Linked DNA regions of Anolis sagrei. Each later gene encodes a partner of the first gene's protein in a complex. Links are inferred from orthologs where the notes say so. Each region holds a gene or a part of one and is shown in the gene's direction. Other genes may lie near its edges.

Evidence for each region. The genes of interacting proteins can lie anywhere in the genome.
Region 2: the proteins of LIMS1 (region 1) and RSU1 are in contact, whole or in part, in a crystal structure (PDB 7LT9), measured with the Homo sapiens proteins. The link is inferred for Anolis sagrei from reciprocal best matches to the Homo sapiens genes LIMS1 and RSU1. Residues at the interface, in NP_001180417.1 of Homo sapiens: Cys252, Phe253, His254, Cys255, Asn256, Leu267, Asn268, Lys269, Ser279, Thr280, Cys281, Asn282, Thr283, Glu293, Phe294, Asp295, Met296, Lys297, Cys303, Lys306, Phe307, Pro308, Glu310, Leu311, Arg314, Leu315, Lys317, Leu318, Ala319; in NP_036557.1 of Homo sapiens: Asp21, Ser23, Asp24, Gln44, Val46, Ser48, His49, Val67, Asn69, Phe71, Asn72, His90, Asn92, Met95, Glu112, Asp115, Thr117, Tyr118, Arg137, Ala138, Tyr140, Ser142, Asp143, Ile161, Ser163, Arg165, Asp166, Glu184, His186, Gln188.

Annotation. Positions count from the first base shown.
Region 1 is NC_090023.1:107,196,313-107,204,164, forward strand, and holds the start of LIMS1 (LIM and senescent cell antigen-like-containing domain protein 1), read left to right. Parts: upstream 1-4,802; 5' UTR 4,803-4,876; coding exon 4,877-5,055; intron 5,056-7,852. UniProt on the Homo sapiens protein: Within the IPP (ILK-PINCH-PARVIN) complex, binds to F-actin, promoting F-actin bundling, a process required to generate force for actin cytoskeleton reorganization and subsequent dynamic cell adhesion events such as cell spreading and migration.
Region 2 is NC_090026.1:105,612,137-105,619,792, reverse strand, and holds the start of RSU1 (ras suppressor protein 1), read left to right. Parts: upstream 1-4,630; 5' UTR 4,631-4,782; intron 4,783-7,656. UniProt on the Homo sapiens protein: Potentially plays a role in the Ras signal transduction pathway. Capable of suppressing v-Ras transformation in vitro.

The DNA of each region.
Region 1 (7,852 bases):
TTAAACATTACTAATTAGAATGGGGAACTATTTGAAATATTGTAGGGAAATTGCATTGTATCCTATAAGATTTACAGTCCCATCATAGTTAATTCAGGAAAATTATAACAAGATCCCAGTATCTGAATCTCAGACGTTGCTTTTGTAGTGAATATTCTTAATCTTAAGGATAGGTGAAAGAGCCTAGTCAGGGGCCATATTGATTTGGGGATTCTTGCAAATGCGGTCTAAAGCTTTGAAATCCTAATGTAAATCCAAGTGCCCACAAGGGCTGAAGGTATAAAACAATGGTTCCCAACCTTTTTTGACAAGGGACCACTTTGACCAGGGACCACTCTCTAACATTAGTACCAAAAGGGTTATGAATCAGTTTTTAGTCAACTTTCAGTTTGGTTTGGTCATTTGTGGTGCTGATTCAGAAAATTGCATTGGATAGACCACCTCAGCTCTAGTGTTGATACAGAACATATGCCATCTAGTAGTCGCCATCTGCTCACCCACAGAAAAACATATTTAATGTGCCTCGACATTATAAAGGTTTCACAAGACCAATTGCTCTTGTTGTGACAGTGTAACTGTGAGGCTGTGGACCATATTTTAGTTCTTGCAGACCACAGGTTGGGAACCACTGGTCTAGAAGGACTGAAAAGCAAGAAAAAATGAAACACTATTGTAGGAATAGAAACAGGAATGCTTAAGCCACACATCACTCTCAGGATCCATCTGTTTCTCCTCTGTGTTTTGAAATTCCTTGAAGGAGTTTTGGACACACTCCAGTTTATCCTTGCAAAAAATTGCAATAATTTAGAGACTGGCCAAAGACCATCTGACAGATTTCATAACAAAATAGGAATTTGAACTCAGTTCTCCTGAGTCCATGTTCACTGCAGCACACTGGTTCCTAGAGGCATTCATTAAGAAGTAAGGGTAAAACCAGTTCAAGGCATATAACTGGCTTTGTTGCATGTAGAAAAGATGATTTCCAGCCGTCCCTCAGTTTGTAATCCAAACAATATGCCAGAAACATCTAATAGCTATATTTCAGTTAATGACAAGTCAGACCTTAAGTAGAGGGTGAACAAGCTTGTTTAAAAAAAACAACTTTTCACCCTAAGTATGAGCACATTTACAAATTTTGATTAACTCTTCTAAAACTGAACTGAAATAAATAGTTCCAGGTGGCTAGATACAACATTTCTAAGCATAGAGAGGAACGACATATTGTATCTTTCTGCTAGAAGGTAAGAAGGTCCTTCAGGAAAAAATGGGCAGGTAGAAGAGGGATTTGAACTCAGGCCTCCTAAATCCATAGTGGTAGCCATAATTCAGCACTAACATTGGTTGAATAAACAGGAATTCAAACCCAGTCTTTTATGAGTTAAGTACTTAAAGCCTTAACCTGGATGAACAAATCTGTCAGTTTCAATTTTATTTCTCCATTAGGTTAAAAAAAACAAAACAAAACAAATCATAAAGTTCTTTTTGTCTCAGGTATGAAGCAATCCGCAAGCTTTGAAAAATCCATATTAAAAGCATTTCCTACCTTTACCAAGTGCTCTAGGCTATATTTCATAGCAAAGAACTAGCAAAGCCACCTCTAAGTTTTCCTTGGCTAAGAAAACTATGCAATTCACGGGGCATCCATAAATCAATAGGTGGCTTGAAGCCACATACACACATAAACACAGATTTTATTTTACATATTTGGCCCCTTTCACCTCTTGTCTCTGTTGAATCAGTGTCAGTCATAAACACAGCATAGATCTTCCTTTAACAAATGCTTAATTAAACTATACTAAAATACCACATTTAAGGGTTTTGCCCTGGCCGGTCAAATTGCAGGGAAACGGTAACCCTCCCGGAAGACGCCCTTGATCGTCTTTTCACACGGTCCCTCCAAAGAAGGGATGTGAAGACAGGCTTTAATTTGTGGGTATGTTGTGAGAGATAATTAGACCGTGTGCAAGGCTAGGCTGCTTGCTGGGTTGGATGGAGGAGAATTTTAAGAATCCAGGTTATTTATTTATCACAAATATCCCACCCACACTTGTGTCTGAGGCCACACAATAGTCTTTTCTTTTATCCCATAAGCTTAATCAATGCTTGTACCACCACAGCTTTCAATAAAAGGACGTCCATTGCCTGGCCAAATTTCATGTTAAACACAGTGAAGTGTGGTTAAGGTCTGATGCTTCTATTTCTTTTTCTTTTTTAACTGCATTATGGGGAACAGAGAGACCAAAACAAAGATGTGGGAAGATGAACCTTTTTCCTTGTGCCATTTTCCTAAAGTTGCTGTTTCTCTCTAAGAGGCTGTTGAAGGAAAATAGTTTGGATGTTTACAGTGTGGAAAATGATGCAGAGGAGGGTTAATTTTCCATGCCTTGTACACTGCTAGTCCAGATGCCTAACTTCATTTTAATTTAACATGGTTAACTTATTATTCGGTGTAGCTTGATTTTAAAAACATATAATTGTTCCAAGAAAGCTTTTAGTGTGGCACACCGATCCCAGTAATTGTTTTCATCAGCAAGCCCAGTATGTACTCAAACATCTATTCATGTCTCTGTTTACTTATTTCATTTATCTTTTCAAGCCTGGTATATAATCAAACCCAATTCAAACATGACAGTTTTGCTTTATGGAAAGGTGGATATTGCCATGCCACTGACAATAGGAAGGTGGTATTACCTGTTTTGAGATATGTTTGAAAAGGATTCAGAATCCATTCCTTGCACCGTAGCAAATGCTATAAATGTAGGCTTCTAGAATTATGTTTGCTTGTCTTCTGGATTACACACTTTAGTCTTTGTTTTAAAATGTATTAGCTGCCATTCAGCTGATCAGAAGTAAGTATAGCCGCATTGTCTCATGTCAGATGGCTAGATAAGAGAAGATGAGATAGATGTTCCTATTGGTTTACAGATATGAGATAAAACAGGAATGTTGTATTTTTCTTTCCACTTAGGATAGGAATGGGGAAGATCAAGCCCTTTGTGGACTTCATGAAGGTCAAATCTGTTCCCCAGGCTCCCCATAGTTAACCACATCCCCTTCCACTGCGTACCATCCTTTGGTGTTTTTCCAGATATCACACAGTTTTTTTAATTCTAAAAATCAAAATGTCTATGCTGAGATTTAGTTCTGGAAGTTAGAGCTGTATACTGAAATATGCTACCATTTTTGGCCTTCTTTAGTCTCTGGCCTTGACCCTCAATGGAACACAGCCTCTCCTCATCCTAAAATTGAATTCCTGTCCTCATCCATAAAATAAAATTCAGCTTCCCACTTTCTCTTAGGACATTCTATGAGCTTCCCAATATGAACCTGCCTAGCCAACAAAGAAACATGTTCCACTGAAAAGGACAACCTTGATTCCATTTAATACTTTCTGAACAGGGAAGTTTTCTATGCATGTGGACGAATGTGCGACGAATGCCAGTTTTACTTACGTTGAGTACCACTATAGAAAGGATTATTCAAGGATTGTAAAGAAATTTCAAGATTTGAAGTACACTGACACTGTATGTGAGCACTTGTCACACGTTGTATGAAGAGGAAAGGGCGGGGTTACACTTGTGACAAGTATGTGAATGGAGAAAGATCTGCAGAGAGGAAGCTCCTTTATGGCATACTTCTCCTCCTTCAGTGTGGACATGAGAGAAGCCTCCCACAAGGATGATAAAACATCAAAAATCATCCAGGCATCCCCTGGGCAATGTCCTTGCAGACGGCCAATTCTCTCACAACAGGAGTGGTTGCTCCTGACACGACAAAAAAAAAAGTGTGGAATTGTGATTATGGGGGTGGAGCATGAACACTTTGGTTCTTCCTCCAAAATGAATGAACAGCTGGGAGTGCACTTGGTGGGTATTCTTCCCTTTCTATAAGATGCGACAGGAGTGCTTAAATATGGGCTGTTTCCCACTGCACAATTATTACAGTAGGATTAAATTTTAGTTGCCATCTTTCCATCCTGTGGAAACCTGGGATCCATAATTCCATGAGCCATTTATAATTCTCTTCCAGAGAGCTGTAGTGCCTCATCCAACTACCAACCCATAGAATTCTATGCGATAATAGAGCAATGACAATTAAAGTGGAATCATAGTGCTGTAATTGTGTATTGTGAAACAGGCCATGGTTTGTGCACTTCTGTTAAACTCTGTACACAGTCATATGAATTCCTTTTTGGATGACACAATGACCAGGAGCTCCATGCCCAAGCATCCTATGAAGAATGTTCATTGATCTTCTCGCTTCCTCAATCGTTGTGCTCTTGTTTATTGGAAAAAAGGCAGACCCAGCCCTTGACTGGTTTGAACCATACCGATTCTGTCATCTAGGGAGAAATAATCATTATGACTCCAGATAGGTGATCTCAGAAACAAGTGTAATCATCTGTAAAGGGACTCTTTTTTTCCATTTTTTCTGAACCACCTGTTCCCATTTCCTCATTATCTTTCCAAAGGCGTTAACGTTTATGAGATCTATATACTACAAAGCGCCGTCACAATGGAGTAAGTTTTTCCACAATAAGCTGCCAGTGACAGTTAGCATGCTGTAGTTTCCATGTATCCAAAATAACATTGCCTTAGCAGAACCCTTCTCTAAGAGTGGCAGATAGCAGGGATCATATGTTCCGCCCGAGTCAGTGTTACCACCTTGCTATGGAATGTGTTGCTTTGCTTCCAGTGAATCTCTTCCAACCTCACTATGACATTCAAACTGCTCTGCAGTTGAACACTTCACTTGAAGGTTTCAATACCACACACAGCTGAGTCCTGAGGATTGCTCTTTCTCCATACTATTCTACCGACTGTGGCTTCTTAGGCACTTTCTTTTGCAGTTGGATTTTGTCTGTAGCATTTTGAGGATGGCATCCCAAAGCAGAGGGCACTCCTATGCAATTCCAGAAAATGAAGAAGTCTCATACGCTCAACAAAATGGGCACAATGACTATGGAAATGAAGGCGAGAGAGCTGTGTCAAAATTGCAGCGTAGGCACAGTGATGTTAAAGTGTACAAAGAGATATGTGACTTTTATGCAAGATTGTAAGTTTACCTCATCAGAGTTGGCTTGTTTCTCAAATGGCTGTTATAATCCTGATTTTTATTCCAATTGTGGTGAATTAGAATTTATTATAATCCATACATTAACAAGATGCTTACAGTGAAATTGCATTTGAATCATAATATTGTGTTTTTCTAGGCATTTATTTGTTTCTGCATCTAGTAGAAATGCTTTGCAGGATCTTTCACAATGGGTTCCTCTTTTGAAGCATGTGCACAGCTTTTTCACTCCACCTATAAGCGCTAATTACTTATTTGCAGAAGCAAAGATATATGAATGTTTTTTTCTGAGTTACATCAATGTAATCTTATGTAAATCTTCCATTTCATCAGTTGAAATGAAAAATAATCATGCACCACTGTCCTTTCTTATATTTACCCAGAAGTAAACCCTATGTGAATAGGAGAGTGCTGTTTGTTTACTTGTCATTGGCATTTGGTGGTTGACCATTTGAAAATAGTATGCCAAGCAAGATTGGTCTCATATGGAGAACGGTAGCTACAGCTGTAATTCTGAACACACTGCCAACTAAATAAGTACCAGTGAACACTATGTGATTATGTCTTAGGAAAGTATACATAGCATTATCAAGTTAAATGTGCAAACATTGATATATATATATATATAGAGAGAGAGAGAGAGAGAGAGAGAGAGGTATAAATATTGCACTCCGAGGCTTGGTTTTGTTTAAGAATTGCTTGAACTGTGGGCTGGGAAGATGGATAGATAGACCATACTGTGGCTTTAGACCAGAGCTTAATTTGCAAGAAGCCAAATGAAGGTTTTGGAATTGCATAATCTTTGCAGGCTAAATGTATATGTCTTACTGGAAAAGGTTATGTGCTGCCCTTCCTGTGACTGTTGTAATTAGTTTGGGTTTGAACCAGATAAAGAGAAAGAGATTTGTTATTGCAGAAATTCATAGGAATAGAGCAGTGGGGTGGGGGGGACGGACCTTTGTAGTGCAGCCCTGGACCACAATGACTCCTTCAAACCAACAACACCCTTGGCATATTTGGAGTTCTCTACCCCTAGAAAAATATAGATATCCCCCCCCCCCCCAATGTGAACATGAATGACACTGGCATTTCTGGTCATCAACTGCAGAGCTGGAGTGTATTCACTCGGGGTAAAGAGATATATTCCCTTAACTGCTGAGAGATACTCATGTGTGCATTCTTCAGGAAAGCTTGGGTATGCAGCTAGCTTGCCAGCACAGTCCAAACCAAATCAAATGGGCTTAAGAGCTGCTTAAGATAAGACCATTTAAACTGGATATATTTCAGAGAGACTTCGGTCTGCGTCATAAGTGACATTTTGGTTAATTAACATAGGGCCACTGACCATGTCTGCATTCTAGATAGTGACATGTGGGAGAATTCCAGGCTTCAATATGCCAGCTAGCCAAAGTGCAGAAATCATTTACTCATTCCATCTGCCACACACACACAAGACAGGTGTGTGGGCAAGATATATGCACTATTAGGTGCATACATCTTAGGCGCTATTATATAGGGCAGGTTTGCACAACCTGTGGCCCTCCATATGTTTTTGACTTCAACTCCCAGAATTTCTGAATATTGAACAAGCTGGCTAGGTTTTTTGGGAGCTGGAGTTCCAAACACCTGGAGGGCCGCAAGTTGTGCAGACCTGGTGTAGACAGAACAAAGGTATGTACAAGAGACCTTCCAACTTAGCCTGTATCTCAGAGTAAGGATGATGAGTGGCAGGAACTAGGCAAGTGTCACACATAAAGCAGCCCCCAGATCCCATTCAAACAAATCATGTACATTAGCTTTTCTCAATCTCATTTTCTAGAAATGCAGTACCAGTGGTTCTCAACCGTTGGTCCTCCAGGTGTTTTGGGTTTCAAGTCCCAGAAATCCCAGCCAGCTTTCCAGCTGTTAGGAATTATAAGAGCTGAAGTCCAAAACACATGGAGGACCAAAGGTTGAGAACCCCTGCAGAAGACCAACCCCCCCCCCCCCCCAATAAGAATGCCAGCACAATGTAGTGGTCTGAGCGTTGGATTATGACTCTGGAGACCAAGGTACTAATCCCTGCTCAGTCATGGAAACTCACTAGGAAGCCTTCAACACCCTCTCAGCATCAGAAGAAGGCCAAAGCAAATCTTGCTATGAAAACTCCATGATAGGTACTCCTTAGGGTCACCATAAGTCATAATTGAAGGCACACAACAACATTCCCAATAACCCTACAGATATCTATGTAATGCTGCAGGAATGTGGCAGTTATAATCAAACACATTAGGAAGGTATTCAGTTAGGACAAACTTCCATTAACCATACAGACAGTACCAAACCTCATGTGGAGCCCAACATATTTGCAGTCTGTAAGATGTGAATGTGTCCATGGACCTTGATATGTGCTCCGCAGCTGCACGGTTTATGGTAATGTTATAAATCGTGGTTGCATTGTGCAGTATCTAGTATTTTCAGCTCCAAAGATGTTGTGGGTAAAGAAAACCCACCACCACCCAGACTACCATTGGTTAGTGAGAAATCTTGTCACTGATAAATACAAAAAACTTATTGGCAATACGTTCCACTGAATTAAGAAGACCATGTCAACATATGATGTTCACTGCATGTGATAGGTTTAGAAGTCAGGTCCTTTTTGTTCCCACAAATGAACTAAGTTTTGGGTTTCTATGCTACAGCCTTGTGATAGTGTCCAGAAAGAGGGGACAACGTTCAACTGCATATGGGTGATGTGGAATAAGAGACATTTACCTGGGACTTAGAGCAGAGAACAGGC
Region 2 (7,656 bases), on another chromosome or scaffold:
TCCAAAGAAGGAGCCTCCACCACACTCCGGGGCAGAGAGTTCCACTGCTGAACGGCTCTCACAGTCAGGAAGTTCTTCCTAATGTTCAGATGGAATCTCCTCTCTTGTAGTTTGAAGCCATTGTTCCGCGTCCTAGTCTCCAAGGAAGCAGAAAACAAGCTTGCTCCCTCCTCCCTGTGGCTTCCTCTCACATATTTATACATGGCTATCATATCTCCTCTCAGCCTTCTCTTCTTCAGGCTAAACATGCCCAGCTCCCCAAGCCGCTCCTCATAGGGCTTGTTCTCCAGACCCTTGATCATTTTAGTCGCCCTCCTCTGGACACATTCCAGCTTGTCAATATCTCTCTTGAATTGTGGTGCCTAGAATTGGACACAATATTCCAGATGTGGTCTAACCAAAGCAGAATAGAGGGGTAGCATTACTTCCTTCGATCTAGACACTATGCTCCTATTGATGCAGGCCAAAATCCCATTGGCTTTTTTTGCCGCCACATCACATTGTTGGCTCATGTTTAACTTGTTGTCCACGAGGACTCCAATATCTTTTTCACACGTACTGCTCTCGAGCCAGGCGTCACCCATTCTGTATCTTTGCATTTCATTTTTTCTGCCAAAGTGGAGTATCTTGCATTTGTCACTGTTGAACTTCATTTTGTTAGTTTTGGCCCATCTCTCTAATCTGTCAAGATCGTTTTGAATCCTGCTCCTGTCCTCTGGACTATTGGCTATCCCTCCCAATTTGGTGTCGTCTGCAAACTTGATGATCATGCCTTCTAGCCCTTCATCTAAGTCATTAATAAAGATGTTGAACAGGACCGGGCCCAGGACGGAACCCTGCGGCACTCCACTTGTCACTTCTTTCCAAGATGAAGAGGAAGCATTAGTGAGCACTCTCTGTGTTCGTCCACTTAACCAATTACAGATCCACCTCACCGTAGTTTTGCCTAGCCCACATTGGACTAGTTTCCTTGCCAGAAGGTCATGGGGGACCTTGTCGAAGGCCTTACTGAAATCCAGGTACGCTACATCCACGGCATTCCCCGCATCTACCCAGCTTGTAGCTCTATCGAAGAAAGAGATCAGATTAGTCTGGCATGACTTGTTTTTGATAAATCCATGTTGACTATTAGCGATGACTGCATTTGTTTCTAAGTGTTTGCAGACCGCTTCCTTAACAATCTTTTCCAGAATCTTGCCCGGTATCGACGTGAGGCTGACCGGACGGTAGTTGTTTGGGTCGTCCTTTTTTCCCTTCTTGAAGATTGGGACCACATTGGCCCTCCTCCAATCTGCTGGAACTTCTCCCGTTCTCCAAGAACTCTCAAAGATGGTTGCCAATGGTTCCGAAATGACTTCCGCTAGTTCCTTCAGTACTCTTGGGTGTAGTTGATCTGGCCCTGGGGACTTGAACTCATTAAGAGCGGCCAGGTATTCCTGGACGAATTCTTTCCCAATTTGGGGTTGGATGTCCTCCAATCCCTCATCCACTCCATCTTGCTGAGGTTGAAGACTCTCTTTTTGTGAGAAGACCGAGGCAAAGAAGGCATTAAGTAGTTCTGCCTTTTCCCTATCCCCTGTCAGCATTGCCCCATCTTCTCCTCAAAGAGGTCCTATCGCCTCCTTGTTTTTCCTTTTTCTACTGACATAAGAATAGAAGGCCTTTTTATTGTTTTTAATGTCCCTGGCAAGTCTGAGCTCGTTTTTTGCTTTAGCCTTGCGGACCTTTTCCCTACAGCTGTTGGCTATTTGTTTGAATTCTTCTTCTTCTTCTTCTTCATGAATTCTTTCATGTCAGGGGAAAACCTTTACCTTACTATATATATTACATTCTATAAAACACATACATTAAAATACATGGTACAAAGTTTAAAATGCCATAGTAATATAGGATAAATGTAAAAATCATAGTTTAAAAATGATTGGGTAGGCCTGCCAGAAGAAAAGGTTCATATTCCACCAGTTTACTTTCAGTAGTCAACAATATGCTTTAAATCAGGGGTCATCATACTTTTTAAACAGAGGGCCAGGTCAAAGTCACTCAAACTGTTGGAGGGCCGGATTAAAATTTGGGAAAAAAATGAATGAATTCCTATGCACACTGCACATATCTTATTTGTAGTGTAAAAACACTTAAAAACAATACAATAATTGAAATGAATAACAATTTTAACAAATATAAACGTATTAATATTTTAACGGGAAGTGTGGGCCTGCTTTTGGCTGATGAGATAAGATTGTTGTTGTTGTGTGCTTTCAAGTAGTTTCAGACTTAGGTTGACCCTGAGCGAGGGCCGGGTAAATTGTTACATCCCGAACAGATTACTGCAACGTGCTCTATGTGGGGTTGCCTTTGAAAGCTGTTCGGAAACTTCAGCTAGTCCAATGGGCGGCAGCTAGATTAATCAACAGAGCGTCATACAGGGAACATACCACCCCTCTGTTATGTCAGCTCCACTGGCTGCCGATCCAGTTCCGAGCACAATTCAAAGTGCTGGTTTTGACCTATAAAACCCTATACGGCTCCGGCCCAGAGTACCTGTCCGAACGTATCTCCTTTTATGTCCCACCTCGGAGTTTAAGATCTTCTGGGGAGGCCCTGCTCTCGGCCCCGCCTCTATCACAAGTGAGACTGGTGGGGACGAGGGACAGGGCCTTCTCAGTGGTGGCCCCTCGCTTGTGGAATTCACTCCCTGGGGAAATTAGGTCATCAACATCCCTCCTCTCCTTCAGAAGGAGGCTGAAAACATGGATATGGGACCAGGCCTTTGGGTAATCTGACAGACTGATAAGGTAATGACAACCAGAATTTGGAAAGGGCTATGGTAATGCTGAATGGACTTACGGATTTTAGAACTCGGTGAACGTTGACCACTAGATTGTCTTTTTAGTTGTTATTGTATTAATTGATTGTTTTTAACTATTGTGGCTATTGCTGTTATGTATTTTATCTGTTGAATTGTTGGCATCGAATTGTGCCGGTTGTAAGCCACCCTGAGTCCCCCCAGGGGTTGAGAAGGGCGGGGTAGAAGTGCCCGAAATAAATAAATAATAATAATAAATAAATTACCTTGGAGGGCCAGATCTGGCCCCCAGGCCTTAGTTTGAGGATCCCTGCTTTAAATAATATTACCTCCCATTGTCCTGGCATCACTCTATCCGAACATTTCAGTATTCTGGAGGATGAACGAAGGATGCAGGAGGAGGAGGAGGCAGAAGAATGAACGAAGGCAATAAACTGGTTTCCATTACCCTCCTTGTTGTTGTTCATTCGTTCAGTTGTCTCCGACTCTTCGTGACCTCATGGACCAGCCCACGCCAGAGCTCCCTGTCAGCCGTCACCACCCCCAGCTCCTTCAAGGTCAGTCCAGTCACTTCAAGGATGCCATCCATCCATCTTGGCCTTGGTCGGCCCCTCTTCCTTTTACCTTCCACTTTCCCCAGCATAATTGTCTTCTTTAGGCTTTCATGTCTCCTCATGATGTGGCCAAAGTACTTCAACTTTGTCTCTAGTATCCTTCCCTCCAATGAGCAGTTGGGCTTTATTTCCTGGAGGATGGACTGGTTGGATCTTCTCGCTGTCCAAGGCACTCTCAGAACTTTCCTCCAACACCACAGCTCAAAAGCATCGATCTTCCTTCGCTCAGCCTTCCCTAAGGTCCAGCTCTCACATCCGTAGGTGACTACAGGGAATACCATGGCTTTGACTAGGCGGATCTTTGTTGCCAGTCTGATGTCTCTACTCTTTACTATTTTATCGAGACTGGACATTGCTCTCCTCCCAAGACGTAAGCGTCTTCTGATTTCCTGGCCACAGTCTGCATCTGCAGTAATCTTTGCACCTAGAAATACAAAGTCTGTCACGGCCTCCACATTTTCTCCCTCTATTTTCCAGTTGTCAATCATTCTTGTTGCTATAATCTTGGTTTTTTTATGTTTAGCTGCAACCCAGCTTTTGCGCTTTCTTCTTTCACCTTGATTAGAAGGCTCCTCAGCTCCTCCTCGCTTTCGGCCATCAGAGTGGTGTCATCTGCATATCTGAGGTTGTTAATGTTTCTTCCAGCAATTTTCACCCCAGCCTTGCATTCATCAAGCCCCGCACATCACATGATGTGTTCTGCATACAAGTTAAAAAGGTTGGGTGAGAGGATGCAGCCTTGCCTTACGCCTACCATGCCCTTATCTAATACCTTATGACAGTGGCATCATTGCAGAATCATGACCCTGGGCTAACTTCCTCTTTATGTTATAATGGGCTGATAGAAATGAGAAGCGTGTGCCCTTTTATTTCATTACTGGCCTCAACTTTGCTGCAACCATTTCATCAAACTGTAACTCTCGCGATTCCTTAGTCCTGAGCCATGGCAATTAAAGCGGTGTCAAAGTGTAGCCATTCCACAATGTTGTTGCACTCCCCGGCACAACTTTGCCTTCACTTCCTTCCCTTGAGCTGCTGAATTGTATCCTCGACTTTCCCGAATCCCATTGGCTAGCTCTTGAGGCGTCTCGACCAATAGCCGCCGGGCAAAGGTGGAGATTCCTCTCGGATTGGTTGGCCGCGGGCTGCACATTCCAAACTGTGGGCGGGGCCGGGGCTGCCCCGAGCGCTGCTTCTCCTTACTTGGAGCGAAGGAGAGGGTCGGGTGTCTGGGGTTGGGACTGCGCCTGCGCACTGGGAGGAGGCAGCAGCGTAACAGGGCGGGGGCTTCGGAAAAGAGCCTGGAGTGGACCTGACCGCCTCGACCGAGATCCAGCGCCCCGGTCCCTTCCCTTCCTACAGAGGGTGAGTTCCTTGGAGATGCTTCAGAGCAGATGGCTCGCCTTCCTCGATCTGGCCGGGGAGGGGGCAGAGGGTCATCCTCTCTTCCTTCCCTGCAATTCTAGCTTCCTCTGAGGCTGAGACAGTGTGACCTGTATCTGTACTGGAGAATTAATGCAGATTGACACCGTTTTAACCTCAAACGTTCACTGTTATGGAATCTCGGGAGATGTAGTTTTAGAAGGGCTTTAGCCTTCTCTACCAAATGCCCTGATGCGCCCCCAACTCCCAGGATTGCATAGCGTTGAGCCCATGGCACTTAAAAGTGGTGTCAAGCTGCATTAGTTCTACAAGGGTCTGATCAAGGGTCTGGAGAACAAGCCCTATGAGGAGCGGCTTAAAGAGCTGGGCATGTTTAGCCCAAAGAAGAGAAGGCTGAGAGGAGACATGATAGCCATGTATAAATATGTGAGAAGAAGTCACAGGGAGGAGAGAGCAAGCTTGGAGACTAGGATGCGGAACAATGGCTTCAAACTACAAGAAAGGAGATTCCATCTAAACATGAGGAAGAACTTCCTGACTGTGAGAGCCATTCAGCAATGGAATTCTCTGCCCCAGAGTGTGGTGGAGGCTCCTTCTTTGGAACTTAGCCTAGGGTCATGATAGGATGGCCAACTGTCAGGGGTGCTTTGAATGCAATATTCCTGCTCCTTGGCAGGGGGTTGGACTGGATGGCCCATGAGGTCTCTTCCGACTCTATGACTCTATGACTGTAGATACACCCCTAGCCCTGAAAAAAAATAGTGGCCCATTGAGAGCAATGTGACAACTGATTTAGCATCCCTTATCCAGAATTCCAAAACTCGCCCAAATCCAAAATTATCTACATCCCTGGTAGCAGAGAGAGTGACACCTCTGCATTCTGATGGTTCAGTGGACACAAACTTTGTTTCATGCTCAAAATTATTAAAAGCACTGTGTGTAAAGTTACCTGGATGAAGGATGCATGGCAAGCACCAGGACTGTGGCGCAGCTGGCTGGGAGTCAGCTGCATTAAGATCACCACTGACCTAAAGGTCTTGAGTTTTAAGCCAACCCAGGTCAGAGTAAGCTTCCAACCAGTTTGTGTAGCTTGATGTCGACCTTTGCAGCCCGAAAGACAGTTGCATCTGTCAAGTAGGAAATTTAGGTACCGCTTATACGGGGAGGCTTCACTCTGGAATACTCTGCCAGGACCTATCAGCTTTCCACAGGGCGTGTAAGACATATCTGTTTCGACAGGCCTTTGATCTCTGATATTGTTGTTTTAAATTGTTTTTAAATTGTTTTAAATTGTTTTTAAATTGTGTTAGATTTTAGCCTGTTCTTGTAAGCCGCTCTGAGCCCCAGGGGAGTGGCGGCATATAAGTTTGATTTAGAAATAAATGAATAAATAAATAAATAAAATATACGATGCCTTAAAAATCTCCAGCGAGCATGCAAAGAATGAGGAAGTACTTCATCAATGTCACAAATGGACGGTGAAGCGACAGCTCCCCTGGTGGCCAGAATATCCTCATCAAAAAGCTGGAATGTTAAATAGCCTCAATGTGTCTGTGTATATATGTTGTGAGTCTATGGCATTGAATGTTTGCCATGTATATGTACATTGTAATCTGCCCTGAGTCCCCTGCACGGTGAGAAGGGCAGAATATAAACACTATAATAAATAAATAAATAAATAAGCATCAATTAATTTCCTGTTAAGACTGGGGACCTTTCTCCAAGATCTCTCTCTATGTGTATCCAAATAATCTGTTACCAAAGGCTTTCGTGGCCAAAATCACTGGGTTGCTGTGAGTTTCTCCAGGCTGTATGGCCATGTTCCAGAAGCATTCTCTCCTGACGTTTCACCCCCATCTATAGCAGGCATCCTCAGAGGTATGGAGCCCCCGGTGGCGCTGTGGGTTAAACCCCTGTGCTGGCAGGACTGAAGACCGACAGGTCGCAGGTTCGAATCTGGGGAGAGGCAGATGAGCTCCCTCTATCAGCTCCAGCTCCTCATGCGAGGACATGAGAGAAGCCTCCCAAAAGGATGATAAAAACATCAAATCATCTGGGCGTCCCCTGGGCAATGTCCTTGCAGACGGCCAATTCTCTCACACCAGAAGCGACTTGCAGTTTCTCAAGTCGCTCCTGACACGACAAAAAAAAATCCTCCGAGGTTGTGAGATCTGTTGGAAACAAGGCAAGGGGAGTTTATATATCTGTGGAATGTCCAGGGTGGGAGAAAGAACTCTTGTCTGTTTGAGGCAAGTGTGAATGTTGCAATTGGTCGCCTTGATTAGCATTTAATGGCCTTGCAGCTTCAAAGCCAAAGCAAAAGGATCCCTCCAGGCAGCAACCAGCCAGGCATGGCCATTCAGTGCTAATCAAAGTGGCCAGTTGCAACATTCACAACAACAACAACAACAACAACTTTATTTTTGTATCCCACCTCCATCTCCCCGAAAGGACTTGGAGCGGCTTACATGGGGACAAGCCTGAGCAACATAGTTAAAATATAACACATTAAAACACTTGTCAGGCACCCTGGACATTCCTCAGATATATAAACCTCGCTTGCCAGAGCTGATGTACTTATTAATTGTGGGTCTGCTCCCCATGCGCTGCCAGTAAGTTTCTGCAGGATGTTATTGTGTGCAGCTGCTTTGTGCTTGGTGACAAAGGATAAAAAGATAAACTGAATAATTGTCGTAAATTAGTCTTAAGTATACTCCTAGACATAAATTAATGTATATACATCTCTCTGTCCATATGTTGTATCATAGTAGTTCAACAGGACCTGATAGTCCCTGCATGAAGAGCAAGGAATCACTTCTAAAGTATTGACACTTTCCATCCAGAGCTGAGGGGCAA